7 linked regions of the Sus scrofa genome follow. Each later gene encodes a partner of the first gene's protein in a complex. Links are inferred from orthologs where the notes say so. Each region holds a gene or a part of one and is shown in the gene's direction. Other genes may lie near its edges. The genes, in order: SNRPG, RBM48, LSM2, CRIPT, USP39, BUD13 and LSM4.

Region 1 (4,471 bases):
ACAACCAATGCTTTTCCGTTTTGGCCTAAGTCTTCTATAATCCCTATTGTTCTTGATTCATAAATGTGGGCTGCTCCTCTTTTGGGAAACTTAACTAGGATCAAATCAGACCATTTTTTACACCTTTCGACTTGAAAATCAATATTTTAGAAATCATCTGTGTGCTGCTCTTCATACTTTATATAGAGGGGCAAGGTACAGTTAAGTGGGGTTTTGGAAGCATTGCAGGACTGTCCGTGGGGAATATACTTATGACCTCTAGATTAAAATTTTTTTTTTTTTTTTTTTTTTTTTTGTCTTTTTGCTATTTCTTTGGGCCGCTCCCGCGGCATATGGAGGTTCCCAGGCTAGGGGTCGAATCGGAGCTGTTGCCACCGGCCTACGCCAGAGCCACAGCAACGCGGGATCCGAGCCATGTCTGCAACCTACACCACAGCTCACGGCAACGCCGGATCGTTAACCCACTGAGCAGGGGCAGGGACCGAACCCGCAACCTCACGGTTCCTAGTCGGATTCGTTAACCACTGCGCCACGACGGGAACTCCTCTAGATTAAAATTTTTGGAAACTGAGGCCCCCTCACTCTATTCCTTTGGTGCAGAGGTCGTTAACTGAGCTGTTACTAGAACCTTAGTTGTAGCATGACATCCTGTGGGAATACTAAAATACCACAGGTTCAACAGTGAAGCAAATACCTCAAAGCAAGTCACAAGATTTTTTTTTTCTTAGTGTGATTACCTATCATAGATCACCATAACGAATACAGTAATGAAAAAATTTGAAATACTGTAAGAATTATCAAAATGACACAGACACAAAGTGAACAAATGCTCTTGGGAAAATGGCGCTGGGAGATTTGCTGGACTCTGGGCTGCCTCAAACCTTCAATTTGCTAAATTAAAAAAAAAAAAAAAACGAGTTCCCGATGTGGCTCAGGGAGTTAAGAACCGGACTAGTATCCATGAGGATACTAGTTTGATTCCTGGCCTCGCTCAGTAGGTTAAGAATCCAGCGTTGCTTTGTCTATGGCAAAAGCCAGCAGCTGCAGCGCAGATTTGACCCACAGCCTGGGAACTTCCATATGCGGAGGGTTCGGTCCTAAAAAGACCAAAAAAAAAAAAACCGCAGTGTTTGCAGAGGACAACAAAGGGAAGAACAACACATGGAAGTATGCACACACATGCCAAAGAAATTTTTAGGAGCCTACCCCTCCAGAGCTTATTTTCATCTGGTAGCGTCAAGACAACTTTGCAACCCACAAAGACAATGAGTTAACCAGCGTCCTTCAAATGCTAGAGGCAGGAACAGCAACCCAATTACAAAGAGGAATATAAAGACTGGAGGCCCCACCCCTCCGCTCTAGCCAATCCCTGGCGACACAACGGAAGCTTGGGACTGATCTGCGAGCTCAGGATTTTCCTAAGTATCGCGACGTGAAACGTGAAAGCGGCCAACAATCAATTGGCTAACGGGATCAGTGACGTCAGACGCAAAGCACCGGGCCTACCGCTGGAGCGTGAGGGAGAACACGAATTCCGTTTGGAGGTTTCTTTGAGTTCGCGGAGTAGGCATCATGAGCAAAGCTCACCCGCCGGAGTTGAAGAAGTAAGTATGCATGAGGGCCGCGCATAAATGGCGGCTTCTTTGTAGGCCTTGAGTTCCTTGGATCCCCAGCCATTTCCGGAGAGTGTGTCTGCCGTGCTTATTGCCACTGGCTGCCGCCGCGATCCGGGCCACCGTCCCACGTTTCCGGGCCTGCATCCCGCGCAAATGTTGTATTTCGGCCTGGTGGGCATGCTTTTCAAAGACGTAAAGGCCCCTCCGTCTGCAGGTTTGCCTCCCAGGCCGGAGTTCCTGGCCGGGTCTCTGGCACTCGATCCTTCGTTACTTAAAGATCTTGAATACCACAGTTAGCTGAACGCCTTGAGTAGCATCACGTTCGAGATAAGGTGGTTGGACAGTAATTCTGTAAGGAACTAAGGAGGTGGATGGAATGGAATTGTTTTGATGGTATATGAGAAATTCAAAAGCTGCCTTCATCTTAGTGTGTTGGTGGTTCCTTTGAGCTTTAACTTAGAAATCCCGTTCTTGGGAGTTCCCGTCGTGGCGCAGTGGTTAACGAATCCGATTAGAAACCATGAGGTGGCGGGTTCGGTCCCTGCCCTTGCTCAGTGGGTTAAGGATCCGGCGTTGCCGTGAGCTGTGGTGTAGGTTGCAGACTCGGCTCGGATCCCGCGTTTCTGTGGCTCTGGTGTAGGCCAGTGGCTACAGCTCCGATTCAGCCCCTAGCCTGGGAACCTCCATATGCCGCGGGAGCGGCCCAAAGAAATAGCAAAAAGACAAAAAAAAAAAAAGAAATCCCGTTCTTTTTTCTTAATTTCTTGCACTTAGGTTGAACTTGAATGTGTGATATTTTGCTCTGTTAACTGGAATGCGTGAGAACATTCATTTTTCTCTAATTAGAGAAGGCTCTTTTGTTGGGGGGGTGTTCTTGGTAAGATTTCCTTTTTGATTCTTAAGATATTAATGAGAGTTTTTAATTACCTTTCTTTTCTTATATGTAGATTTCAATAATTGTGAGATCCTGCCAGGTCTACCTCCAAAATGACTTTTAACTTTTTCTTCCTTACCATCTTTTTTTGGAGTTCCCTCGTGGCTCAGCCGGTTAAGGATCCAACATGGCACTGCTGTGGTTCAAGTTCAGTCCCTAGCCCAGGAACTTCCGCATGCCACCCACGAGGCCCGAAATCTTTTTTTTTTTTTGCATTTTTATATCTTCCGTCTGCTTTTAATATAATTCTGTGGTTCTTAACTGTGGTGTAGAGAGTCTGGTTCTACCAGCATTTAGTAGGTAGAGGCCAGGGTTCCTGCTAAATATTCTACAGTGCACTGGACATCACTCAACAACAGAATTATCTGGTCCCAGATGTCAGTATGCCAAGGTTGAGATACCCTGGCCCAATCATATTCTTCCTACCCCTCTTAAAAATCATTGCCAAAGTAGTCTTTTTTTTCCCCCAGTTTTTTTGAGATAAAATTGACCTACAGCACTACGTAAGTTCAAGATGTACAGCGTAATGGATTGATTTACACATGCTTCAGTAATCTTAGCCATGCCTGATACTGCTGCAGTAACTTATTGCCATCTGCATAATAAAGTCCAGACTTCTTGAACCAGCAGTAACGCTCCTCCATTTGAAATCCAAGCACCAAATATTACACACGCTAATATTTGAGTACCATGTTCTTGGGCCAAACTGAACCATTTGATTTTGCTCAAACTTTTTCACTGCTGAGTGACTTTGGAAATTTTACTTAACCTTTCTGGGCCTTGGTTCCCCATCTGTTAATTGGTGGTAATAACAATGCATAACTTAAAAAGCTTTCATAAGGATTAAATAAAATAAGTTCATATGTGTTATATTTGTGTTTTTTTATAACATCCTAGTAAAATTGATTGTTTTACATGTCATACTATATATTTTTATTTGTAAAAACCTGTCTTCTTACACCTTCTTCAGGCCTCATGTCTTATTTATCTTTGAATTCTCCATGATATACATTAAAATTGAATGAAGTTTCATATTTTCTAGCCTACAGCAAAGAGGTAAAAACTGGTTTGACTTGTTGGCTTCATATTCTTTTTGTCTTTAGGGCTGCACGCACGGCATATGGAGGTTCACAGGTGGGGGGTCGAATGGGAGCTGTAGCTGTAGCCCCTGGCCTAAACCACAGCCACACCAGATCGGAGCTGTGTCTGTGAGCTACACCACAACTCATGGCAATGCCAGATCCTTAACCACTGAGTGAGGTCAGGGTCCAACCTGCATCCTCATGGATACTCGTTAGATTCACTTCTGCTGAGCCATGACGGGAACGCCCTTGGCTTCATATTCTCATACTACCCTGCTGATATGGAATTTTGTTGCTTAATTCAAATTATTTAAAATTTCAATATGCATTTATTTTGCTAAAGTATACTTGGGTGTTGGAGAATATCCTGAACATTTAAGATTGTTGCTTAATATTAAATAAAACACTATGTATTGTCTCAAATATAAAATAAAATATCCATTGGATTGGATATGGTTTGATTACCTTCTGATTTCTTCACAACTTTGTTTGGTTTTTAAAATAACCAAAATATAACAAAATCTTTGTTTTTCTGTTTTGGTCGTAAGATTCTGTCATTGAATATTGGGTCGGGGAGTTCCTATAGTGGCTCAGTGGGTTTAGACCCTGACTAGCATCCATGAGGATGTGGGTTCGATCCCTGGCCTCACTCAGTGGGTTAAGGATCTAGCATTGCCACAAGCTGCAGCATAGGACACAGATGCAGCTTGGATCTGGCATTGCTGTGGTGTAGGCCAAAGGCCACAGCTCTTATTTGACCCCTAGCCTCGGAACTTCCATATACCACAGGTGTGGCCCTAAAAAAAAAAAAAAAAGGAAGATGAAGGAAAAAGAATCAG
Region 2 (4,541 bases), on another chromosome or scaffold:
GAAGGCACGTGGAAAATCATCAAAGCTGAAAGCACAGGGCAGGGAGCAGCTACCTGGGACCAGGTGATAATAACTAACTCATCTCCAGCCAGAAGGAAGCTTATCAGGGCCAAGAGACTGCCTACTTTATAGTAAAAGAAATAATGGCAGGATCTGTTGAAATTAATGTGCTATGAAAGATAGGGGAAAATACTCTAGAAAAGGAGTTACAGAGAAGTAGCTAAAATGGAAAAGGGAGATATTTGAAATTATTGCAAACTGTTGAAATTACTGCAAACCAGTGGGTACTATGCATTCAGGATTTTCGAAGATTTCAAACAGCCTATCCTTTTAGCCCCTTAAGCAAGCACGCTCAAACTCGTAAACCAGGTGTCTCCACTTTACAATTAGGAAAATACAGATGTTGCATCTCTGTAACCATGCAAGTGTTAGAGCTATGAACCGCCACAACCACAAGGTGCAGAGCGCAAGTGAAAACAGAGGTTCAAGGAATTCTAACTACCTATGACCAAGTATGCATACTCCCACAGCACATTCCTGGAGCACCCCGGAGGTGTTTGGAGACACAGGAAGAAGGTTCATATTAATCTATCCCGCTCGTGGGACACAGGGCTCCACCTCTGTTAACCAATAGAGACTTCACAAACCAAGTCCGCCCCTCTTTCTGAAGGCCGGGACCACAGCCATGCAAGCACCTGGAAATCGCTGGCAGGAAAAACGTTTTCTAATAATGAAACAAAACAGAACAGAATCCCAAAAGACAAACAAACCCGACTTCTCAAGAGCTTTTCCAACCTGGAGTGAGGAATAGTTGAACGAAGAGGGAGAATATCGGGGCGTTTCAAAGCCCAGTTCCGGCGAGTAAAAGACCTGGAATACAGCAGGTCAACTCAAAGAAGCCGTGCTGCACTAGACGTGATGTGGCTGTCAAGAGCGCCCAGGCCAGCCCTGCCCGCAAGGGGTCCTCAGTGTGGCCTCTGAACCGGTCGGCGGGGCTGGGAAAGCAGCCCTAATCCCGCCGCCGGGAGAGGCCTGAGCGGCCGCTGCGTCCCTAAAAGGCCTGGGTCTCGGCCGACCGCAGACTGGCCAGCAGCTGTCCCAAGTCGGTGGTGAGAGCCCGGCACCAAGCGGGCGCCTTACCTGCAGCAGGTGTAGCTGGGCCACAAGGCGCCGCGGCAAGTGGAGGAAGCAGTCGCGAGCGTTGGTGAAGGCCACCGTCACGGCCGCCCCGCCTCCGCCAGCACCCGCCAGGCGATCGCCGCCCCACATTGTCTGCAGGCACCGACCCCCAGCCGCCCAACCTATCTTTCCCGGGCCAACCCCGCAGGTCGCGGGCGTCGGACCCGGAGACGATCGATCGGCCCCGCCCCCTAAGGCCCCGCGGCGCATCCGGAGCGGGAGGGGCCAGCACGCCTGCGCCTGTTCTCAGGGCCTTTCCGCCGCGCCGCTGGGGGGCGACACGTTCTTCACCAAATCCTCGCTCACAGGAAACGATGGCCGACGGTGTCGATTCTTCAGCCAATCTCGGAACGCCTTAACTCACCCCTCTCTCTTATTGGGTAAACGGTGGGGCAACGGGGCGGATGTTGTCGTTCGCGAGGGATAACACCGGCAAGATGGCGTTGAGCGGCGGGCAGCTAGGAGGCTTATTCGATCACCACGTCCAAAGGGCTGTATGCGACTCGCGGGCCAAGTATCGAGAGGGGCGCCGCCCTCGCGCTGTCAGGGTAAAGTGACTTTGGTTTCAATCGCTATCCCCGGTAGCTTTCTGTGAGTTCCAGCTTCACATGCCCAGCTTACGTAAATAACATCTTGAGAGGCTGCGGTCACATCGATTAACTGAAGAAGAATATGAAAAACGCTGGTACTCAAGTACCAAAGATGCTTGAGTGCTCTTTAGTCTACTGCTAGAACCTCAGCTCCGTGAGAAGAGGGCTGTGTTTCAGTCACTGTATCTTCCGTGTTTACAGTGGTCCTTGTTACATGGTAAACGCTCAGCGAATACTTGTTAACTCGTCCCTGTAACTTCTACCGAGCTAATTTGTGGAAAACACATTGATGGAAGATAATGTTACGTGCTTTAGCTAAAGGCCTTTGCAAGAAGGGTAAACTATTCATTATGTAGAGAGAGGGGCAAGTTTTTAGATTTCCTGTTTTTATGCAAACCAGTCGAAAGGTGTTTTTTTCAACTTTAAAAAAATATAGGATTAGATTTGTCCCAGGCTTCTTTGTGAAATACATTTAATGTGTCTGATTTCTTATAGGTTTACACGATCAATTTGGAATCTCGGTACTTATTAATACAAGGAGTTCCTGCAGTCGGAGCCATGAAGGAATTAGTTGAGCGATTTGCTTTGTATGGTGCAATTGAACAGTATAATGCTCTAGATGAATACCCAGCAGAAGACTTTACAGAAGTTTATCTTATTAAATTTCTCAATTTACAAAGTGCAAGGTAATATGCAAGTTAAACAGTGTCTCATTTTCTCCATTCCCGTTGCCTACATTTGGCCTCCCTCATTCATTTCTGAATTACCCAGTAACTAACATGACCCTGTATTCTTCTAGTCTTTTTAAATGTTAGCCCTACCAAACTCTTTCTATCACGTCATTCCCATGCTTAACAATTTTTTTGTGTGTGTAGTATGGTAGATTAAAAATTGGTTTGGGAGTAAATTTTCAAGTTTCACTGTTTACTAACATCATGACCATGGACAGGTTACTTGACCCCATTAAGACTGTTTTCTTATTCTTTAGACACCAGTATGGTAAAAGGACCTACTTACGGAGGTTGTGTGAGGATGACATGGATCCATGTATAGGGCTTAGCACAGTGCCTTCTATTCAGAAGGCAGTAAACATTAGGTATTGGATCTCTTATTTTATGGACCTGTGTAATTGAATCTCCTTCTATATAACATAAAATTTTCTCCAACAATTAAGTACGAAATGCCCTATCTCTTTTTTCCCTCATTTTAAAAAATGAAAGTGTTGATTTACAACCTTTCAGGTGTACAGCAAAGTGTTTCAGTTATACACACACACACACATATACCTATTTGTGTGTGTATACACACACACATTCCTTTTCAAATTATTTTCCTTTATAAGTTATTGCAGGATATTGAATAGAGTTCCCTGTGCTAACCAGTAGGTCCTTGTTGTTTATCTGTTTTACATATAGTAGTGTGTAGCTGTTAATCCCAAATCCCCAATTTAACCCTCTTCTTCCTTTCTACTTGGGGCCTTGGCTCTTTTTATGTTGACTCCTATTCTTATTGATAGGCTCCAAGACCCATCTTCTCTTGGCTGTTAGAATTCATATTTTCTTTTCTGTGCTACAGATAGCCCTTGTAGTCTTTCTGCCATAAATCACTTGGGTTAATGTCATCGTGTGTTGTTCTCAGGTTGCCGTTATATATAATCTCACTACCCTAACCAATTTGTCAGCTCCTCATGGTTAGGGATATTTTCTCATTGTGTATTTTAAGGAGTTTTGCATCTCTCACTCCACCTGGTACAGTAGGTCATGCAGTGTGACATCTGGATTTGAATCTTAGCTCCAAAAGCTAATGTGAGAATGGCCAAGTTATAAATCTCTCTAGGCTTCAGTTTCATCAGAGGGTTGTTGTGTTAATTCAAGAGAAGCACTTAAGCACTTTGGTCACTGCCTGGGATGTGGTAAAATCTCAGTAAGTATTTATCATTTTCCCTGGGCACTGAAGTGCTTATTTATTGTAGTAATTCCTGGCCAGTCACAGATGTTTAAAAATTATTTGTTGAATGAATACCATTCTCATTGATTGTTATATATTCAATATTTCCTCCATTATTGAATGTTACAATTTCAATATTTTATTAATTTCTTAAATATGAATCCCATTATAGGAACACATTGTGCCAAAAAGGCTAAAATAAGTATGAGCTAACGCTCAAGAGCCATTTAACATAGAGAAAAATCTCTATTTCATAACCACAGATTGTGTACCTCAGGCCAACCAGCTGGATCCAGTATTGGTTAAAGGGAGTCTGGATAGGTATGGATGACTTGAAACCTATTAAGACTAGGGAGAGGGAAAGAAAGGCTCTAAGAGTAGGCACTGGATCAGTAGAGTCATGCTGTCCACAAGCAGAAATTCTTATTCCCTAAGTATAAGATGTATATACACTTGGCAAAACCTGGACTTTGCTTTTTATTTATTTTTTTGCTTTTTAGGGCCACACTGCGGCACATAGAAGTTCCTAGGCTAGGGGTTGAATCGGAGCTACAGTTGCTGGCACAGCAAGGCGGGATCTGCGATATACACCACAGCTGTGTCTGCGATATACACCACAGCTCACAGTGCCAGATCTCCAACCCATTGAGCAAGGCCAGGGATCAAATCTAATCTAAGATACTAATCTGATACTAGTCGGATTCATTTCCGCTGTCCCACAATGGGAGTTCCTGGACTTTGCTTTTTAGGTCAGTGCATTGTGTACTAGTCAAGCTTTCTTCCTAAGTAAATCTAGATCAGGAAACCATAATATTTTGTATTTCT
Region 3 (3,099 bases), on another chromosome or scaffold:
TGGTTAGGATGAGGGCAGCGAGTTGGAGGCTGGACTGGATCGAGCTGTAAAGGTATAAGACCTTAGTTTGTAGAAAGAGAATAACAAATGTTAGACATCAAACAGTGGGGGTTCGTGGTTCATGGAGAAGTACAAATTTCGGGATTTGAGATTTTTGAGACTTAAGTGTTGAAACCACTGGCAGAATTAAAGAATTGGAAGAGAGATAACATGGCGTGCAGCGGTGGTGTTTAGATAGCCTTCCTCGTGAACATTTCAGGGGTTCAAGGATCGAGGAAGGGAGAGAACATCGCTCATGCCTGTGTCATCAAAAACATCACCAGTTAGGAGTTCCCATCTCGGCTCAGTGGTTAACGAACCCGACTTGCATCCATGAGGATTCAGGTTGGATCCCTGGCCTCAATGAGTGGGTTAAGGATCTGGCATTGCCATGAGTTGTGGTGTAGGTCACAGATGCAGCTTGGATCCCAGGTTGCTGTGGCTCTGGTGTAGGCTGGTGCCTACAGCTCTGATTGGACCCCCTAGCCTGGGAACATCCATATGCCGAGGGTGTGGCCCTAAAAAGCCAAAAAAAAAACAACATCGCCAGCTAGCTACCTTACCTGCTTTACATACAGAGCCCTGGTTCCAAAGCCAGTATTTGAAAATAGCTAATGGTTCTGGGGGACAGGCCTGAACCAAAGTCTCTATTTGTTCTAAACTTGTCAAGATACACATTTCTGAGCCCCTGGATGGTTAATAGCTACCTTGTGAAGTGGCTGCAAAGATTACAAACGTGCGGAATAAAGGTCTAGCACATAACTTTTTTTTTTTTTTTGTCTTTCGTCCTTTTTTTAGGGCCAAACCCTTGGCATATGGAGCTTCCCAGGCTAGGGGTCTAACCGGAGCTATAGCCACCGACCTGTGCCAAAGCCACAGCAATGCCAGATCTGAGCTGCATCTGCGGCCTACACCACAGCTCACGGCAACGCTGGATCCTGAACCCATTGATCAAGGCCTGGGATCAAACCTGAGACCTCATGGTTCCTAGTTGGATTAGTTTCTGCTGCGCCATGATGGGAACTCCCACAAAACTTTTTTTGATGGTAGCTACTAAGAGGGAATTTAGGGAGAGATGTGAGGTCTAAACACACTGCTCTGGAAGCAGTTTTTTTCCTACCCCATAGCTTAGGCATGCCCCTTGTTGGTTCTTTTTTTTTTTTTTTTTTTTTTTTTTTCCTCTGCTTTTTTAGGGCCACCCAAGTGCAGCATATGGAAGTTCCCAGGTCGAATCAGAGCTTCATCTGCTACCCACACCACAGCTCATGGCAACGCCACATCCCTGACCCACTGAGCAAGGTCAGGTTTTGAACCCACATCCTCACAGATTCTAGTTGGATTGTTTCTGCTGTGCCACAAGGGGAACTCTGGTTCTACCTTTTTTGGTTTCTTCAAGTCCTTTACTTCCCGCAACCATGTTCTTATCCTTGCTCTAAAATCACCTCAGTGTTGACTTAGGTATAAACTATTTTGGTTTTTCTTTTCTCTACCTCTGACAGCATCTGTGGAACCCTCCATTCTGTGGATCAGGTAAGACTGTAACAAGGGCCCTGATAGGGTCTTGGGGAAGGAGAGGGGAGAGCTTAAGGGCTGGGAACTTGCATCTTGTCTCTGGTTCTAATGATGGTGTTCATCTTCTTTTCTTAGTATCTCAACATCAAACTAACTGACATCAGTGTCACAGACCCTGAGAAATACCCTCACATGGTGAGTTGTAGATGGTAGAGATGAGGAAACACCTCTCAAAGCAGGAGGTCCCTGGGTGGATAGAGGACATTTTTGAAGCGTGTTTTTTTTTTACATTTGTGTATCTTTGTCCAGTTATCAGTGAAGAACTGCTTCATCCGAGGCTCAGTGGTTCGCTATGTGCAGTTGCCAGCAGATGAGGTTGACACACAGTTGCTACAGGACGCAGCAAGGAAGGAGGCCCTGCAACAGAAGCAGTGATGGCTGCTCCTCCCTTTCCCTCCTTCCATCGGTGATTCTGAGCCTCATGTCCCAGCTCAGGATGCCTCCCTCCCATACTTGAGGTGTTGTTTTTTTCACAGCAAAGTTTTTGTGTTTTTTTTAAGGGATGAGTGGATGAGAGTAATAATAATGGAGAGCTACTCTCCTGTATTGAGAAGGGGAGGAAAAGGAAGCCCGGGAACTGCGAAGCCTTCCCTATCCCCAGCACCTGCCTTTCTCACTTCTTCCCTGGAGGTGGGAGAATCTCCCAGGTCTTTCTAGGGTAGCATGTGATTCATTCTGGGGATGGAAGGAATCTGTCCCGCATCGGGAATAAAATTTATGATGCAAATTCGAGTTCTGGTTCTGTGTTTTGGGAAGGGGGCTAGAGAGTGGGAAAGGGATGCTGAATTCACCCAGCCCTGTTACTCTCATTACCCAAGCCAAGGCCCCAACCCGTCCTGTCCGTATTGGCTACCACTCTTCCTGATACAAACCGTACCTCAGTTGGACTGCATGCCCCCTACCTATGCAGCCTACCTACCATAGCCTTTTCCTAATACTGTACCTGCGAATGTTTGCTGTCCTTGTATTAAGGTGGAAGCTAATGAGACACCTAAATGCGTTTGATGCTGGATCTAGTGCTTCCCCAATATCTATTGCATATAAATACAAGTGACAACTTTCATTGTGGAGAGTTGTGACTGGGAATTAACTCTAAACTCATTTAGCAAGTAAGAGTTCCCGCCCCAGATGAGGGTTCTCAGGACGAAGGGCCGTTAGAAGCCATCCAATTCGACTCCCTCCTCCCACGTAGAAGGAAATGAGGCTCAAGGAGAAGCTGGACACCAGGACCTCGGCCAAACGGACCCCTACCCACGTTGGCGTCAGGAGCCGCCCTCCGCCGCCGCCGCGTGAAGGCCCGCTGGCACCGCCCTCCCGCCCCGCCCCGCCCCGCCCCCCCCGCCCCACCCCGCCCCGCCCGAGGACCCGTACGGGGTGCCCGCGGCGGCGCCTGACGGGAGTGCGGTTCCCGGCGCGTCCTCCCCGACCCCGTCTCCCGTGCCCGCGGCCCGCACGGTTCCTCGGGAGCGCAGTCTGCGGCGGGCGGCG
Region 4 (4,545 bases), about 22 Mb from region 1:
TAATGATTGGATCCTTTGGAAATACAAGATACGTGTTCTAGAAACCCCATAGTATACTTTGGCTGAATTGTTGGCATTCTTTTTTAATCACTGTGTTCCATTGTCTATCAACACAGTTGTTCACATTTTCTAGCAAATACCAAGAAACAGCAGGTGCACACTGAAATACACAAATGGTGGTCAATGTCATCAAGAGCGTTCAAAAAACATCATGCTAAACTAAGGGATCTCAGCGCCCCAAAATACCAAAATGGCAATGTCAGACGCTAGATTCCAATGAAAAGAAGAGCTTCATGAAAAGGGAAAAAAAATTTTACTTTCTCTCTCTCCCATCTCTATATATCTATTTTATGTATGCATGTATTTACAAATTATCTAACAGAGAGCTTATATGTAGTATTGACTAATGTTAAGTAAGGAGTCCACGTGTCACACTGTGGTGACTAGTCCAGAATAAAACCCCATATATATACACACACATATATGTGTACGTGTGCGTATATATAAAAGGGTAAAAGGGCAAATCCAGGCCTTATCCTAACACTCTCATTTATTCACACTATATTTTTCAAAAGAAAATACATTACTGATAAGGAAAAAGACTAGCAGAGATTAGTAAACATTGCAAGCTACCAAGGTCCCAAGTGCTAAAGCCATTTCAAACCCTAGCTAACCTTTTTGATGATATAGATATATACTAGGAGGTATGAATGGCAAGAAAGGAGAAAGGAAATCTTTCTCACCGGTCCTATCTTCTTCTGGGCCACCCTCAAAATCCCAATTGACAGGAGCAGATTTGTACATAAGACAGTGAGCAATACACAAACTTAATGCTGCGTGAATGAGTGAATGAACGAAGAGTAGGTGCAGAGTTGCCCTTCCTGAGAAACCAGCCTTATATTAGGCCTTGGAGAGCTCAGGAGGACTTCCGCCAGGTGCCCCCTGGGGCAGCTATTGCCCAGGTGCCCGTGGTCTGACCTGGCCCAGATCCTCAAGCCTTGCAGCGGAAGAGAGGGCCATTCTGAAAGGCTCCTGGAGGCGCCTTCGCGGGAATCGTGGGACCGTAATCTCCAGCCCCATCCCAAACTGGGTCGCTGCGGACTCTGCCCAAGCCCCAGCCGACTGTGGGCAGAAAGGGACAAGCTGAGAAGCATAATCAAAGAGCACAGGCGTAAAGACCAAGAGAAACGGCGGGACAAACACAGAAAGTCGGAACTGAAAAAGAGCCAGTTCATCGGGGCAGCCCCTGGGTCACGCCGGAAGGGCGGCGCTCGAGGGGCCCGCGGGCAAGGGCCTATTGGTAGCAGAGATTTCCGATCAGTTGGGCAATTGGCGGGGGTGGCTTGCAGCCGCTGGAGGCTCGTGCGCCGGGAGCGTCCGGCTGGGCTTACCTAACTCTCCCGCTCGCGGAAGAGAACGGGAGGGCTACTACCTCCCACCATCAGGTGCAACTCGCCGCCCTGAGTCTCGCGCAGGCGCAGGCCAGCAGGGCGGAGACCGAAGGCCTCACAACCAATCGCAGAAGTGGAGAGGTGGGCCAAGAAGGAAGCCCCGCCTTCCCGCTCTCCTTTATTCCTCCCGCGGCTTTCCAGGTGTAGAATAGGCGGGGCGGAGGATCCGGAAGTGGACTTTCATAACCCGGAAGGGGAGTGTTTTCTCAGCTGTGGTGTTGATGGTTTCCAGCTCCCGATCCTACTGCGACTGAGGGAATCGTCGCGAAAGGATGGTGTGCGAAAAATGTGAGTTAAGGAAACTCTTCTGCGGGAGAAGAAGGCTGGGACAACCTAACTGGAGTTCCCCGGGACTTTATTCCTTTGTTTTTACTTTGGCCACAAGTCTCTGATTCTAGCCTCTGTTCTGTCCTGCCCTTTGACCATTCCTGCCTCTCCATCGACCGTATAGTCCTCCGTTTGTTGCATTCAGGGTGGTCTCCTTGTCTGTTTTGCACCTCCTTGTCTGTTTCCATTGTTTTCGTTCAACCCCTGAGCTTCTTGACTGGCTCCCTCATTTCAGAGCTTCAGGTTGAAATGGATCTTAAAAGTCGCTTCCACAGCAACTGGAGTTGCTAGGTTTAGCAAATAAAAGTACTGGACGCCCAGTTAAATTTGAATTTCAGGTAAACCAAGAATAATTTTTAGTGTGCGTCCTATGCAATATTTGAGATTTGGCTCTGTTTGCTGCTCCTTACTGCTGTAAAGCAAGGCACTTACTTTTAGGACATTGTCTACTGAAAAAGTATTCATTGTTTATTTGAAATTTAAATCTAACTTTTGGCGCAGGGTTCCATACCTGGCCCAGGAACTTCCACATGCTGTGAGTGCTTAAATGGTCCTTGAACGAATACCCAGAGTATTGAGGAATGGTGGCCGGTGTGTAGGAGAATCTCACCACCTTGGAAGCAGTCCGTGTTGATTTTACTGGCTTTTAGAAAGGTCTTTCCTTCTTCTAGTTGCCGTCCAGTAATTCTAATACCACCCTCTGAGATTTGATATTTTTGCTCCCACAAACTGGTTGTGTATTTAAAAAGAGCAGTCTTATTCCCGTTTTCCTGAGTCTAAACATGTCCTCTTAATTTGATTATCGTCAGTTTGATTATCATCTAATTAACTTGATCCATTTCGTTTACCCCCCCCCCACAGTATATAAAGCCTTATAGCTTTGAACACAGAATTTGAATCACAGTTTTCAGATTAGGTGAAAGAATGACCATGACAGTTACTTTAATACATTCTCAAGGTGCAGAGAATAATTTGGGATTTCTGTATCTGGAGACTGGCATTCAGGATGACCCTCTACAATGAGGCCACATCTTACCTTTTTAACTTTATTTTCACTAACCCTTACCATCTTTACAGTTCAGCCAAGCCAAACTATTTTGCCTGACTGCATGTACCTCGAGTTCTCCACGCCTTTTATCAGGATGTGTCCTTTATCCAGTTTACCTTCATCCTCCTTTCTCCTTTTTCTTCATGGTCTCATTACCACAAACCCTCTCTACTGCCTTCTTCACAAAGCTTTCCTGGATTTCCCTAGTCAAGGTTATTTCTTCCTCCATGGAATGTATCTTAGTACTTCAGCTCTTAACATACTGTTTACTTTCAGTTGAATAATGCTAAACTTTTGTTGTTGTTCTCGGAGCCCTTTGAGAATGTGACAAAAGCTGTGGACTTAACAGAGTCTATTAAAAAAAAAATGGATATACAGAGGTTTGTGTTCAGTTTCATCTTGTTCATGTATTTCCTAAGGTCCACATGTGAAAACTCAGGTTAAGAACTGTTGTTAGAGATAAATCAGTATGATGTAAACTCCTTGAAATCTAGAGCCTTATCTAATTCATTTTATTTTTCTCTGTACTTTGTACAATGGTTTATATATCACTGATATTTAGTAAATGAACAGATTTATCAGATTTGTTTAAAGCATTAATGTACAGAAACAAGCCTATTATAGGCCATACTATTATCCACAGATTTGACTGAGAGTCAGTTATCCATGGCCCACAATTAGTATCATAAGTCTCAGTTCACTGGCCCCAAGCCTCAGCAATAACAGATTTGTATGTAATATGAATATTAATACCATTGTAAACTTAAGGCACAATGTAGTGTATTTATTAGATAGTAATGCTAACCCCCCCCCACTTTTGTTATCTTGTTATAACAGGTGAAAAGAAACTTGGTACTGTTATCACTCCAGATACATGGAAAGATGGTGCAAGGAATACCACAGGTATTTTTCCTTTTAGAACATAGAAATTAAATCAGATACTTCCTGTGAATAATGTTTTAGCTTTTACATTATTTGTAAAATGTTGTTAAGCATACAGCATATTTCATCTATTAAATATTAAAGAATACTGGACATTCCCCCCCACAACAATTTAATAACTTCATCTCCTTAGTTTTCTTAGTGACATGTCAGGGTTCCTAATTTGGTAGTCAGGAAATAGAGATAATTGAATGATTTTTAAGCAATGAGTATATCATAGTAACTGATTTGGTTCAGCCTAACTAGAGTTATTATTATTATTTTTTGTTTGTTTGTTTTTTGTCTTTTTGCCTTTTCTTGGGCTGCTCCAAGGCATGTGGAGGTTCCCAGTCTAGGGTCTAATCGCAGCTGTCGCTGTTGGCCTGTGCCAGAGCCACAGCAATATGGGATTCAAGCCGCATCTGCAAACCTACACCACAGCTCACAGCAACACCGGATCCTTGACCCACTGAGCGAGGCCAGGGATCGAACCCACAACCTCATGGTTCCTAGTCGGATTCGTTAACCACTGCGCCATGATGGGAACTCCTAGAGTTATTATTTAAATCCCCCTTTCCTCACCTGGTTTTTATATTCTTGAACAAATCATTTAAATGTTTTCACCTTCACAATCATTAATTACAGTGAAGATGTTTCTAAAGGGAAGAAAAAGAAACATTATCACTGTATTTAAGGTCAGTGGCACCAAAGTAGTGGCATCTAGATTTTGCATTAGATAGATTAAATATAGACCTGTTCCTAAAGTCCTGCTTTGAGTCTAAGAAATAAAATAATTGC
Region 5 (3,779 bases), about 13 Mb from region 1:
TTCAAGTGTATTCTCTCAGTTTGTGGCTTTTCTGGGTATTGTCAGGCTACCCATACAGGAGCTCGTCCTGATTAGTTTTCCCTATCACTGTGTTTGTTTCTATTGGTAGTTGGTCCTGAGTATGGCTTTCCCATTTTCAAAGCTGTTGATGATTTTCCTTTCAGCAAAGAATGGCCGCTTGGATTCTGAGGACCAGAGGAGCCGCCACTGCCCATACCTGGATACCATTAACAGGTCTGTAGCACAGGGATGCACTAGCACAGGGATGCAGAGGGCAGCAAAAGAACAGTGGAATCTGCAGAAAGTTCTTTGGGCTGTATGTTGAGCAATATGTTCAAAAACTTTATCTCTTTTAGGAGGAGTTCCCGTCGTGGCGCAGTGGTTAACGAATCCGACTAGGAACCATGAGGTTGCGGGTTCAGTCCCTGCCCTTGCTCAGTGGGTTAAGGATCCGGCGTTGCCGTGAGCTGTGGTGTAGGTTGCAGACGCGGCTCGGATCCCGAGTTGCTGTGGCTCTGGTGTAGGCCGGTGGCTACAGCTCTGATTGGACCCCTAGCCTGGGAACCTCCATATGCCGCAGGAGCGGCCCAAGAAATAGCAAAAAGACAAAAAAAAAACTTTATCTCTTTTAAAGCTTTCTGGGAGTTCCATTTTCACTCAGCAGGTTAAGAATCCAGCGTTGTCAGTGCTGTGGCTCTGGTTACAGGGGTGGCATGGGTTCAGTCCCTGGCCCAGGAACTTCCACATCCCATGAGTGTGGCCAAAAAAAAAGGCTCTCTGCCCAGAAAATTCTACTTCTTGCCATGTTTTTTAATCTTTGCCCTTCAGTTTATTTATGTATTTATTAAAAAATTTTTTTTCCATGGAGTTCCCGTCATGGTGCAGTGGTTAACAAATCCAACTAGGAACCATGAGGTTGCAGGTTCGATCCCTGGCCTTGCTCAGTGGGTTAAGGATCCGGCATTGCCGTGAGCTGTGGTGTAGGTCGCAGATGTGGCTCAGATCCTGTGTTGCTGTGGCTCTAGCGTAGGCCGGTGGCTACAGCTCCAATTCGACCCCTAGCCTGGGAACCTCCATATGCCGCGGGAAGCAGCCCTAGAAAAGACAAAAAAAAAAAAAAAAAAAAAATTTTTTTTTTCATTATTGGCTGCCTCTCAGCCAGGGATCAGATCTAAGTTGCCACCTAAGCCACAGCTGTGGTAACACTGGATCCATAACCCACTGTGCCTGGCCAGGGAGCGAACCTGTGTCTCATTGCTTTTAGGAAGCTGCTGATCCCATTGCATCATAGTGGGAACTCTTGCCCTTCAGTTGAAAGTGTCAGAGGGCATGTTTTTTCAGGGTGGGCACATGCACAGAGAACTTGTAGTTCATTTTGAATTTGTATGAGGAAGTAAAGGGATACACTGTGTCAATGACAATAGCAAATTTAAATATTTATTGAACACCCGCTCTGTGCTAGGTATTACGCTAGGTGCTTGGGATTCAGCAGAGAAAAAAAAAATGTCCTAAAGCAGAGGTGGTTGCCTCATCCTGATATTTTTTGATCCCAGATGCATCTTAGGATGATTTTTCATACATGCTTTCGGGTAACTCTGTCTAATAGACTTTTTTTTTGCACCAATGGAGTGGCTCTTTAGGGCTGTTCATTGTGGTAGGCACAAGGCACCTGTGGCTACTAACCACTTGAAATGTTGGCTTGAGTAATTGAATTTAAAAATTCTATAAAATTTTTTATTGGCTGCACCCTTCACATGCAGCACGTGGACGTTCCCAGGCCAGGAATTGAACCTTCACCAGAGCAGCCACCCGAGCCCCTGCAGTGACAGCCCTAGATCCTTAACCTGCTGTGCCACAGGGGAACTCCCGTGAATTTTAAATTTTATTTAATTTTAATTAATTTACATTTAAACTCCAGTAGCCATGTGTGCCTCGTGTCACCTTTAATGGACAGTGCAGCTGTCCTAGGACCATTACTGATTAATTAGAGTTAATACTTGAGAAGGAATCCCTTTGCCACCTGTGGATTCAGTAGAGGTAAATTGTTTTTTTTACTAATAATTTTTATTTTTTCCATTATAGCTGGTTTACAGTGTTCTGTCAATTTTCTACTGTACAGCAAGGTGATCCAGTCACACATACATATATACATTCTTTTTTCTAATAATTTTTTTTTTGTCACTTGTCTAGTGTTCATATACCATGACTTGAGGAGATAGATCTGTTTTTGGGTATTTCCCTAAAATTCTTCAGACTTCTCACTTATTTTTATGGCCTTCTTAATAAATTTTTCTTTTATGAATGGGTTTATTTGCTCTTTTTATGTCATTTTATGCCCAGTCTTTTCATTTGAAATGCTGTTGGCACTGTGTTACTTTAGTCCTACTTGTAGCTTTCCTTCCAGAGAAGGTAATAGAAGATTCTCATCTGGTTGTGAATACTAAAAAGAAAGAGGGTCATTGATAAAGATATCTCTTTTTTTAAATTAAAAACTTAAAAAAAAATTAATGGCTATATGGGAAGTTCCTGGGCCAGAGATTGAATCTAAACTGCAGTTGGGACAAAGCTTGATCCTTTTAGTCCACTGCACCCGGCCAGGGATTAAACCTGTACCTCTGCAGCAGCTACTCGAGCTGCTGCAGTTGGATTCTTTTTTTCTTTTCTTTTTTTTTTTTTAGGGCTGCACTTGTGGTATATGGATGTTCCCAGGTGAGGGGTTGAATCAGAGCTGCAGCTGCTGGCTTATGCCACAGCAGTGCCAGATCTGAGCCACGTTTGCAAACTATGCCATAACTTGTAGCAATGCCAGATCTTTAGCTCAATGAGAAAGGCCAGGAATCATCATGGATACTAGTTGGGTTCTTTTTTTTTTTTTTTTTTTTTTGTCTCTTGTCTTTTTCGGGATGCACCTATGGCATATGGAGGTTCTCAGGCTAGGGGTCTAATTGGAGCTGTAGCCGTCAACCTACACCACAGCCACAGCAATGCCAGATCCGAGCTGCATCTGCGGCCTACACCACAGTTCACGGCAATGCTGGATCCTTAACCCACTGAGCAAGGCCAGGGATCGAACCTGCAACCTCATGGTTCCTAGTCGGATTCGTTTTAACCACTGAGCCAAGATGGGAATTCCTACTTGGGTTCTTAACCCGCTGAACCATAATGGGAACTCTTGCAGTCAGATTCTTAACTCACTGTGCCACAGTGGAAACTCTGATGGAGATACCTTTACACTACTTTGGGGCTTGGTGGGTGGAGGTACTGTATTAAATGTCTAGGTAATGAAGAGTTCATGTTTCCCATGATTTGTATGTGGTTGTTGAGCCATTCTCTGAAGGATGCTACGTGGGAACACGGAGCCAATGCTGCTTCACTCGGTGCTTGCCTAGGCATCCATCCCTATTAATTGTTTCTGTTTTATTTTGGTTCTCTTAGGAGTGTGCTGGACTTTGACTTTGAAAAACTGTGTTCCATCTCTCTGTCACATATCAATGCCTATGCCTGTCTGGTGTGTGGCAAGTACTTTCAAGGTAAATAGATGTTTTGCATTACAGACTTGCTGAATCTTCAGTGCTAACCACAGGTCTATTGCAGAGAGTCGTTTTTTGAAAGAAAGTAAGCTGCTATTAGGAATCAGGTCTAATAACCCCCATCTTTGTTCCCAGGAAATTGGAATACTCTTAGAAAATCCACAGGAGGTTCTCTGATTGGTCAGAACCTGAATACATATGAAGGAGAGAAAGAACTAGCCATGTGAGAGACTATGTAGGTAATCCGAG
Region 6 (4,437 bases), on another chromosome or scaffold:
GGGTCTGGGTGGTGTCAGGGAAGGCGGGGGCATTGAACTGCAGGGAAAGGGTAAAACTTAGACTGCCACTGGTCATGAATTCCTTTGGTCCTGCTTAACTGCCCTGTGAGGAAGTGTTAAGACTAGAGCTTGGGTCTTGTCAGGCTAAGGGTAGGTATTGAGTGGAATGGGTAGAGGTAGAACTGATGACAGAAGAGGGCAGGAGGGCATGGGGTTGAGAGAACTATAGGAGTAATATTCACTGGAGTGGCAGTGGGAGACTCCCCATGTCTGCTGACACCAGCTTGAGGTACATTAAAGCAGACTAGAAGCCAAGGCAAGGTTGTGGGTGGGGGACCTATGGTCCCCTGCAGCTATTGATTCCCCTGTCAGTCCAGTGCCCCCTTCTCACAAGCCCTCAAGAGACCCAGCCTGCTTTTCTTCCTGGGCCGGTGCTGTGACCAGTCAGTATGGCCCAGAGGTTAAAATTTCTTGCTTCAGGGCGGTGATCTCCAAACCTGTTTTGTTACATATAAGTATTTTCTGAACATGTATCCCAAGATACATGTATTTAGTGATAAAGTATGACAATGCCTTCTTGAGTAATGCCTTGAAACAGTTACAGTGATTTAACATATATAATGAGATACATAGAATGTAAGATATAATTTTTTTCCAGAAATTTTGTATTACCTCTTGTACCCCACCTTTTTGGCCTCTGCTCCCAAGGGTCATATATTCTGGCTGTGTGAAGTTGGGCAACTTAACTTCTCCAAGTTTCAGTTTTCTCATCTGTAAGGATAATAAAACTATCTGAGAAACATGAGGGTTAAATGAGATAATTCAAGTAAAGCTCTTAATGCTTACAAGAAAAAGTCTTCTCCCCAAACTTGAGTATTAGAATTCAGTCTTTCTAGCTTCTTTCACGATACTGAAAATAGATCCAAGTCCTTTGCACTGGAGATTTTCCACACAAGAGATAGCTAGGGGCAACCAGTAATACCGAATGTGGATAAGTTACACAGGTTAGAAACCTCCATATTTTTCAGAACAATTATACTGGGTTTGGAATTCCTGACTTCCTCTCTTGAGTGGTTCTTGAAGGCCTATTAAAGCAGATTCCTCTCCATCTAAACATGCTAATAAAAATAACTAACATACTGTGTACCAGATGCTGTTCAAAGCACTTTACACGGTAATATTCTCTCAAGTCATTGCAACCATTGATTTAGGTGTGATTTTTATCCCCATTTTGTTAAATAATTTGCCCAAGGTCGTACAGCTAGGAAGTTATGAAACCAGAACTCAAACTTAGATGCGCTGCAACTCTGAAGTAGATCTCTGGAGTCGCAGTTGTAGCCTTGTTGCTGCAATAAGGCTTGAATGAGCAGATAGATGGACAACAGGAAAAACACGGTTGCGCATCGGGGGGCGGGGGGATGTAGACTGGGCACCGGAGATATGCTCATTCCTCATTAGCCCTTAAACGCTCTCTTTCATCTATCAGCTTGGACTGCTCCAAATACTCGGCCACTTCCGGGCCCGGTTGCGCCTCCTAGGGTCCTCGCCGTTCGTTTCGCGTTCAAGAATTTTGTCCCTAGCGCCCGTCCGTCTCCCCGCCCTCGCCGCTGCCATGGCGGCAGCTCCGCCGCTCTCCAAGGCCGAGTATCTGAAGCGTTACTTGTCCGGGGCAGATGCCGGTGTCGACGGGGGCCCTGAATCCGGCCGCAAGCGTCGCAAAAAGCGGCCGAAGACTGGCGGGGCTGGCGGCAAGGGGTGAGTTGGGTCTGGCGGCTTGGGTCCGCGGGGCTGCCCCCCCCCTCCCGCCTTCCCAGCTCCGCCCTCGGCCCGGCTCTTCCTCGACGGGTCGCGGGCTGCCCGGCTTTGACTGCTCGCCCGACCCTGCCTCAGCCCAGAGTCGGCCGGGGCCGCTTCTCGCGCGCTTCGGCAGTAACTTGGGTGTATTCAGGCCAGGCTGTAACTTTCATTACTCTCTTCCCGCTTTTATAGCAGTCCGTCTTCTCTCGCAGAGAATGAATATTATACCCTGAAAGTATTGGTGGAGCGAATTCAAAGGCTCTGGGCTTGGGTATTTAGGGCCCAGAACCTGTCTGGGGCGGGGGGGGGGGGGGCGCTTCTCCAATCCTAAGGACTCCCGTCCTGAGTTGGAAACCTGGTGCTCATTTCCTGTTATTCTTACTACTACCACTACTACTACCACCACCAAGTAACATTTGTACAGTTCTTGTCATGTGCCAGGCACCGTTCTGAGTCCTTTAGATATACATGAATTTATTTAAGCTTCATAACGCTACCATGAAGTAGATGTTGTTGTTAACCCCATTTGTCAAACAAGGAAAATTACGTGGCCCAGCGTGCTGGGTTGAATAGTGCCTCTTCTCTCCAATTTATGACCACCCAGGACCTCAGAGTATGACATTAGAAATAGGGTCTGGTGTTCCTGTCAGTGGCTCAGCGGTAACGAACTGGCTAAGATCCATGAAATTGTGGGTTCGATCCCTGGCCCCGCTCAGTGGGTTAAGGATCCAGCGTTGCCATGAGCGGTGGTGTAGGTCGCAGACGCTGCTCGGATCCTGCCTGGCTGTGGCATTGGCGGGCTACAGCTCCCATTCGACCCCTAGCCTGGGAACCTCCATATGCTGTAGGTGCGGCCCTAAAAAGACAAAAAGAAGAAAAAAAAAAAAGAAGAAATAGGGTCTTTGTAGATGTAATTAGTTAAGATGAGGTCATAGTGAATTAGGATGGGCGCTAAGTCCAATATGACTGATGTCCTTTTAAGAAGAGGAAAATTTGGATACAAAAACAGGCTTTGAGGGAAAATTACTGTGTGAAGATGGAGGCTGAGACTGGACTGGATTCATATGCCACTAGGAGCTACCAGATACTGGATGAGTCAAGGAAAGATCTTCCCCTAGAGCCTTCCTGGCAGGCGTTGCCTTGCAGATACCTTGATTTCAGACTTGAAGCCTCCGGAGCTGTGAGAGAATACATTTCTGTTGTTTTAAGCCACCCAGTTTTGTGGTACTTTATTAGGCAGCTCTAGGAAACTACCCAGTAAAGTCAGATAGCTACAAGGGACTAATCCATTTCCTTTCCTGATTTGGTTGTCCCGTTATTCTTCCTTTATGTCTTCCAGCCCCCTCTGACTTGTGTGGATTCCTTGGAGGAAGTGCCATGTAGTGAAATTAGCTTGAGCTTTGCAGCGACACTGATCAATATTTAAGTCCTAGCTGTGCCACTTTCTGGGCTAAGCCTCAATTTCTTCATATTTAAAATGAGAGTAGTAGTGAATGGTATCATTTATATTAAATGATTGTGATTAATGATCTTGGCTTTTCAAATAACTGTTTACATCATGGCAGTTATTTTTATTATTTGGACTCATCCATAGCTTATCTATGGAACAAAATTTATTGAATATTCTCTATGCTAAGGTGTTGAGGGGTGCAGGATATCCCTGTAAATAAGAGAGGCATAGTCCCTATTCTGATGGAACTTATAGTTCAATGGGAATACAGCCGTTAAGCAACTAATTACACAACTTGTTGATTTATTTCCTTTTTGATAAATGAAGTAGAAATATTCCAAGAATGTCTAGCAGGGGTTCTTAGTTGGGGATGGTAAGGGAAATAGTCAAGGAAGGTATGCTCAAGGAAGTCATATATATGCTAGGATTTTAAGAATGAATAGGAGTTTCCCAGTAAAGAATGAGAAGAGTAGGTCAGGCAGAGAGAAGGAATTGAGTTTGTGAAACTGATATGGGAAAGAGTTTGGCTCATTCTAGACAGCAGAAGATGACCAGTGAGTAGGGAACCGAGAAGGCAGTGGTATAAGATGAAGTTGGCCATACTGGCAAAGAATGGACCATAAGATCTTGTAGGATTTTGAGCTTTAGCCTAAAACCAATAGATAGATGTTTGTTGGCTGTTAACCAAGAATGATTCTTCTCTTTTGATCTTTTTATTTTCCACATTTAGTATGCGGATTGTGGATGATGACGTGAGCTGGTCATCTATCTCCACCACTAAACTGGAAAAGGAGGAAGAGGAAGATGATGGAGATTTGCCTGTGGTATGTATCTTTTTATTTTTTTGACCGAGCAAGGGGCATGCATGAGAAAGTCCTAGGCCAAGGATCGAACCCATATCACAGCAGTGAATTGCTGAGTCCTTAACCACTAGGCTACCAGGGAACTCCTCTATCTTTTGAGGCTGTGAGGACTTTGAAGTGTAAGCCTCTCAATCTCAACTCCCAGTGCAGGGTATATTTATTTGTAAGGAGAAAAGTTGAGGGCAGAGACGAGGTGACACTTTCCTGGAGCTATTGTAAAATAGTCTTCTTTGACGATGGCTATACACAGTCTTTGTTTATGGAGGGCCCTATCAGCTTGGAAATGGGAACAAATCACAGAGAGGCAGGATTCCTCAGTGTCAGTGA
Region 7 (4,285 bases), on another chromosome or scaffold:
TGTGGTGTAGGTTGCAGACGCGGCTCGGATCCCGCGTTGCTGTGGCTCTGGCGTAGGCTGGTGGCTACAGCTCCGATTCAACCCCTAGCCTGGGAAACTCCATATGCCGCGGGAGCGGCCCAAGAAATAGCAAAAAGACAAAAAAAAAAAAAAAAAAAAAAGAGGAAGAGTTGAGACACAGAGACACACAAAGAAAAGCACCATGTGATGACAGAGGAATCTGTGCCAAGAACTACAAGGATTGCTGGCAGAGAAGCATGGGATGAATTGCCCCTCAGATCCTTCAGAAAGAACCAACTCTGCTAAAACTTTGATTTCAGTCTTTCGGATTAAGTTTTACTGTTTAAAACCACCCAGTTTGGAGTTCCTGTTGTTGCTCAGCAGTAAGGAACCGGACTAGGTATCCATGAGGACTCAGGTTCAATCCCTGGCCTCAATCAGTGGGTTAAGGAAGCTGCGGTGTAGGCCACAAATGCTGCTCAGATCCTGCATTGCCATGGCTATGGTGTAGGCAACTGTAGCTCCATCCAATTCGACCCCTAGCTTGGGAACGTTCATATGCCATGGGTGAGGACCTAAAAAGCAAAAAATATTCAAATAAAAATAAAAAAATAAAACCACCCAGTTTGATCATTTGTTATGGCAGCCCAAGGAAACTAATACATTTGTCTATTTTGTTTACAGTCTGCCTCCCCAGTGGGCTCCTAAACCTCAGGAGGGCCAGGAGTTTTGTTTGGTTTATTCTCTTCTGTGTTTCCAGGAGGAGGCCCGTAGTAGATGCTCAATAAATATTTATTGCATGTCCGTGTATCAAGTGCTCAGTACGTGCCGGGCACTCTTCTTTTACAAGGCATAAATCACTTGGCACTCATTGCAACCTTCTAAAGCAGACACTATTATTAAGCCCATTTCAAAGGGAAGCAAACTGAGGTTCACACCGGTACGTCTAGCCTATCAAAAGAAGTGCCCTGGACAACGGTCAACTACAATAAAGAGAATCAGAAGAGTAGGAGCTCGAAGGGACACATGGCAATAACCATAGAGCTGCCATTCCTCCATTTGGAAATTGGAGGCACTACCCCGTTTTGCCCACAGCGTGGAGCCCGGAAAAATCACTGAAGATTGCACCTGCGCAGGCGCCCTTACCCACAAGGCCTCCTGCGCCGGCGCACATTGCTCCGCCCCCTTTTGCAGCACTCATAGCGGCACTTTACGACTCTCTCTCTCATTTCTCCGGTAGGAACGCGGCCCGCCCCGCCCCTCGTGTTTAATAGGCCCCGCCTTACTCCGCGTGGATTGGTTGGCCTTCCCATGAGCCTCGTGCTGACTGGCTCGCGTTGCTGCCACTCCATTTCAGCCTAGTGGCGCGCAGAGCTGCAGCTACCGGCGGGAACGTGAGCGGCGGCGGCGGCGGAAGTAGCCCACGAGCCTAGTCCCCGCCGACACCATGGTGAGGGCGGTGCGACGGGGGAGCCGGCCGCCAAGGGCCCTCGGGGCGGTTGTTGGTTCAGGGGCGTTGTGGAGCCAGCCTGTAATCTGGGCCTTGAGTCCTGCCCCTTCGCCCAAGGTGGGGAGGACAGGCCGGAGAGTGGAAGAGCTTCTCCCAGGACACCAAGCACGTCGGTCTCGGGGGAGCTTGGGATTGGATAGAAATGAAATCACAGTATGGCAGTCTGGCAGCAGTCTTCCCATTTTGCAGATGGGGAAACTGAGGCCAGAGAGGAAGGGGACCTGCTGAAGGGCCCGGTGAATGCAGCAGAGTGAGTTTTCGGACGGGGAAATGGCTCCCAGTGCATCCGACCCGATCTGACCTCCTAGACAGTAAAGCTAGAGCACCAGGCAGTAGGGGGCCGGCCTTCTTTCTCAAATTCAGCCAATCTGGGGAATTTCGGGGGTTGTACTGCCCTTGGAATGCTAGCTGCGCAACCTCTTATGCCTCTCCTTTTCAGACTAAAAAGCAGACCCAAAGCAAGGTTAACTTCTTCCGGGGTCACACAGCATATGGTTCCAGGGGAAGGGGGGGCGTTTTCAGCCATGGATGGGCTAACCGTATCCCAGTTTAGAAAACAAAAAAATCGAGGCCCTGGCAGGAAGTCTCCCCAGGGCCATGCCATCTCACAAGTTGTGGAAATTGGAGATCTAAACCAGCGTGCCTGTGTCCCCAGTGAGTGACAGACAGGGAAATGGAGGCCCACACAGAGGAATTGAGCTGGGAGAGAACCTGGCCCATCAGCCCTCGAGTCCTCTAAGATGGTCGCTGCACATTTTTCGGAGCTGACCATGAGGGTTCAGTAATTCTTCTGGTCATTGTAGGGATGGAGAGAAGGGAGCAGCTTCGTTCTCTCTGTTCGTCTCTCTGGAGGGTAGAGTTGGTCTGTGGAAGAATCCATTTGTTAAGCTCCATGGAGATAGGATCTCTGTTTTATCCTCATATATTGCCAGAGCCTAGAACAGTGTCTGTGCAAAGTCTGTGTTCAGGAGTGGCTAAGGCATTACACACTGCCTGTTCCTTGTGGTCGGGGTGGGGCGGAAGCCAAGCCAAGGTCTGGGTGAGGGAGTGGGTGATCAGCAGCTTCCTGAGTTGGGAACCTCAGGACACCATTAAATCCAGTTGTGGAAGTTTCCATTGTGGCACAGCAGAAACGAATCCGAGTAATAACCATGAGGTTGGGGGTTTGATCCCAGGTCTTGCTTAGTGGATTAAGGATCCAGTGTTGCTGTGAGCTGTGGTGTAAGCTGCACACGTGGATCAGATCCCATGTGGCTGTGGCGCAGGCTGGTGGCTGTACCTCCAATTCGACCCCTAGCCTGGGAACCTCCATATGCCATGGGTGCGGCCCTAAAAAGCAAATAAATAAATGTATTTAGGTGTGGATGGACCTAGACCTGAGGGCCAGACCCCAGATGTTCTGAGAAAGGCTAGAGAAAAGAATTCTCTTCCCTGAAGCTTTTTATGACTCCAAATTCCACACAGCCCTTGCTCCCCCCTGAACTGGGTGATCTGCCCTCTCCTGTATCCCTGGCACCTTCATGCTTTCCCCCACCCCAGCATACCCCTCGCTTTCAAGTTCACCAGGTTCCTCCTCTTCCTTTGGCCTTTGTCTCCAACAGCGTTTGGGAACAAGGAAGTAGATATGACCACTGCTGCGGTTGTTGAAGTCTTGGAGGGCTGTCCCAATGCCACCTTTCCCTACCTGAGCTTCTCCTTTTCCTTGTCTTGTGAGGTGTGGCAAGTATTCCCCACCCCACCCCACCCCTGTCACCACCCCCTGCCTGGAGTGCCTCCCTGGGTGGTATGTGCTATATTTGTCAGCAAATATTTACTGAGTCCCTTGCATGTGCCTGGCCCAGTGTTCAGCACTGGACAAAGTCCACACCCTCTGAATTTTCCAGTCTAGCAAGAGGCTTGGTGTTTCCAGTCTAGCCAGGGAGACGTAATAAATAAACAAGTTAATTAGAGACTGGCTATACCCTATAATAGAAGCAGAGGGTGGCCCAGGTGGAAACCTCATTCCCTTGATGGGGTTATAATGAGGGGCTGGCTGAAGCAGAAGTCACCAGCCTGGGGGAGGGCACCCCAGGTAGAGGGAACCAAGGAACAAAGTTTGACCAATAGCACCAGGCGTGGTGTGAAGAAGTGAGCGGGCCAGTTTGCTAGAGCCGTGTCAGGCCTGGCTCTGTGGCTAGCCAAGGGAGCGGGTGTGCAGGGGAGGGTGTGAGCAGGTGCTGGTTCCATCTGTGTCGCTGCCGTCCTCTGAGGTCACACTGCTGGCAACAGCTGCAAAGGCTGTGGGTCCTCCAGGGGTGTGCTACTCGTAGCTGGGACAGGATGGTAGCCTGAGAGAGACAGCCTGAAGGCAAGGTATGCCATAAAAGGACATCTGTGGGTCTTCTGCTAACAGGCATTAATCTGCTTTCCCCGGCTTTACCCAGACCTTGCTCTGTATCCTTGGGTGTCCCTCCTAGCTGCTGGTACCTCATCTAGAGGGGCCTTGGCTGTGCTACTCCTACTCCCTCCACCTCTCCACACAGTCCATTTTCATTCTCACCTTCCAGGACAGGGGCTGGCCTGGCCCTGTCCCCGTCTCCGGTGATCTGGGAGGAGGACTCAAGTGTGTCATTGCTCTGGTCCTGATTCCCGTTGTGGATACAGCAAACAGGCTTGTCCAGGAAAACCCTGAGCTTCTCTATAATAGAATACCACCTGGCTCTGTGGCTCCCTCATGCATATCTGAGCCTCCTGTTCTTTCTCCACAGCTTGCTGTGCTCAGGCAGCATCAGACAG

What was found.
Region 2: SNRPG (region 1) and RBM48 share a complex: the UniProt entries of both Homo sapiens proteins name them as parts of the minor spliceosome. The link is inferred for Sus scrofa from reciprocal best matches to the Homo sapiens genes SNRPG and RBM48.
Region 3: SNRPG (region 1) and LSM2 share a complex: the UniProt entries of both Homo sapiens proteins name them as parts of the U4/U6-U5 tri-snRNP complex. The link is inferred for Sus scrofa from reciprocal best matches to the Homo sapiens genes SNRPG and LSM2.
Region 4: SNRPG (region 1) and CRIPT share a complex: the UniProt entries of both Homo sapiens proteins name them as parts of the minor spliceosome. The link is inferred for Sus scrofa from reciprocal best matches to the Homo sapiens genes SNRPG and CRIPT.
Region 5: SNRPG (region 1) and USP39 share a complex: the UniProt entries of both Homo sapiens proteins name them as parts of the U4/U6-U5 tri-snRNP complex. The link is inferred for Sus scrofa from reciprocal best matches to the Homo sapiens genes SNRPG and USP39.
Region 6: SNRPG (region 1) and BUD13 share a complex: the UniProt entries of both Homo sapiens proteins name them as parts of the minor spliceosome. The link is inferred for Sus scrofa from reciprocal best matches to the Homo sapiens genes SNRPG and BUD13.
Region 7: SNRPG (region 1) and LSM4 share a complex: the UniProt entries of both Homo sapiens proteins name them as parts of the U4/U6-U5 tri-snRNP complex. The link is inferred for Sus scrofa from reciprocal best matches to the Homo sapiens genes SNRPG and LSM4.

The regions. Positions count from the first base shown.
Region 1 is NC_010445.4:72,197,272-72,201,742, forward strand, and holds the start of SNRPG (small nuclear ribonucleoprotein G), read left to right. Parts: upstream 1-1,450; 5' UTR 1,451-1,572; coding exon 1,573-1,604; intron 1,605-4,471. UniProt on the Homo sapiens protein: Plays a role in pre-mRNA splicing as a core component of the spliceosomal U1, U2, U4 and U5 small nuclear ribonucleoproteins (snRNPs), the building blocks of the spliceosome.
Region 2 is NC_010451.4:72,443,228-72,447,768, forward strand, and holds the start of RBM48 (RNA-binding protein 48), read left to right. Parts: upstream 1-1,583; coding exon 1,584-1,727; intron 1,728-2,264; coding exon 2,265-2,455; intron 2,456-4,541. Other genes in the region: PEX1 (peroxisome biogenesis factor 1), read right to left, coding at 1,141-1,389. UniProt on the Homo sapiens protein: As a component of the minor spliceosome, involved in the splicing of U12-type introns in pre-mRNAs.
Region 3 is NC_010449.5:23,899,627-23,902,725, reverse strand, and holds the end of LSM2 (U6 snRNA-associated Sm-like protein LSm2), read left to right. Parts: intron 1-1,538; coding exon 1,539-1,569; intron 1,570-1,686; coding exon 1,687-1,746; intron 1,747-1,860; coding exon 1,861-1,986; 3' UTR 1,987-2,341; downstream 2,342-3,099. UniProt on the Homo sapiens protein: Plays a role in pre-mRNA splicing as component of the U4/U6-U5 tri-snRNP complex that is involved in spliceosome assembly, and as component of the precatalytic spliceosome (spliceosome B complex).
Region 4 is NC_010445.4:93,922,961-93,927,505, reverse strand, and holds the start of CRIPT (cysteine-rich PDZ-binding protein), read left to right. Parts: upstream 1-1,589; 5' UTR 1,590-1,723; coding exon 1,724-1,739; intron 1,740-3,663; coding exon 3,664-3,729; intron 3,730-4,545. UniProt on the Homo sapiens protein: As a component of the minor spliceosome, involved in the splicing of U12-type introns in pre-mRNAs. Involved in the cytoskeletal anchoring of DLG4 in excitatory synapses.
Region 5 is NC_010445.4:59,146,422-59,150,200, reverse strand, and holds part of USP39 (U4/U6.U5 tri-snRNP-associated protein 2), read left to right. Parts: intron 1-164; coding exon 165-234; intron 235-3,435; coding exon 3,436-3,530; intron 3,531-3,779.
Region 6 is NC_010451.4:44,162,410-44,166,846, reverse strand, and holds the start of BUD13 (BUD13 homolog), read left to right. Parts: upstream 1-1,445; 5' UTR 1,446-1,612; coding exon 1,613-1,755; intron 1,756-3,977; coding exon 3,978-4,071; intron 4,072-4,437. UniProt on the Homo sapiens protein: Involved in pre-mRNA splicing as component of the activated spliceosome. As a component of the minor spliceosome, involved in the splicing of U12-type introns in pre-mRNAs.
Region 7 is NC_010444.4:59,498,229-59,502,513, forward strand, and holds the start of LSM4 (U6 snRNA-associated Sm-like protein LSm4), read left to right. Parts: upstream 1-1,331; 5' UTR 1,332-1,447; coding exon 1,448-1,450; intron 1,451-1,699; exon of another isoform or gene 1,700-1,760; intron 1,761-3,422; exon of another isoform or gene 3,423-3,862; intron 3,863-4,285. UniProt on the Homo sapiens protein: Plays a role in pre-mRNA splicing as component of the U4/U6-U5 tri-snRNP complex that is involved in spliceosome assembly, and as component of the precatalytic spliceosome (spliceosome B complex).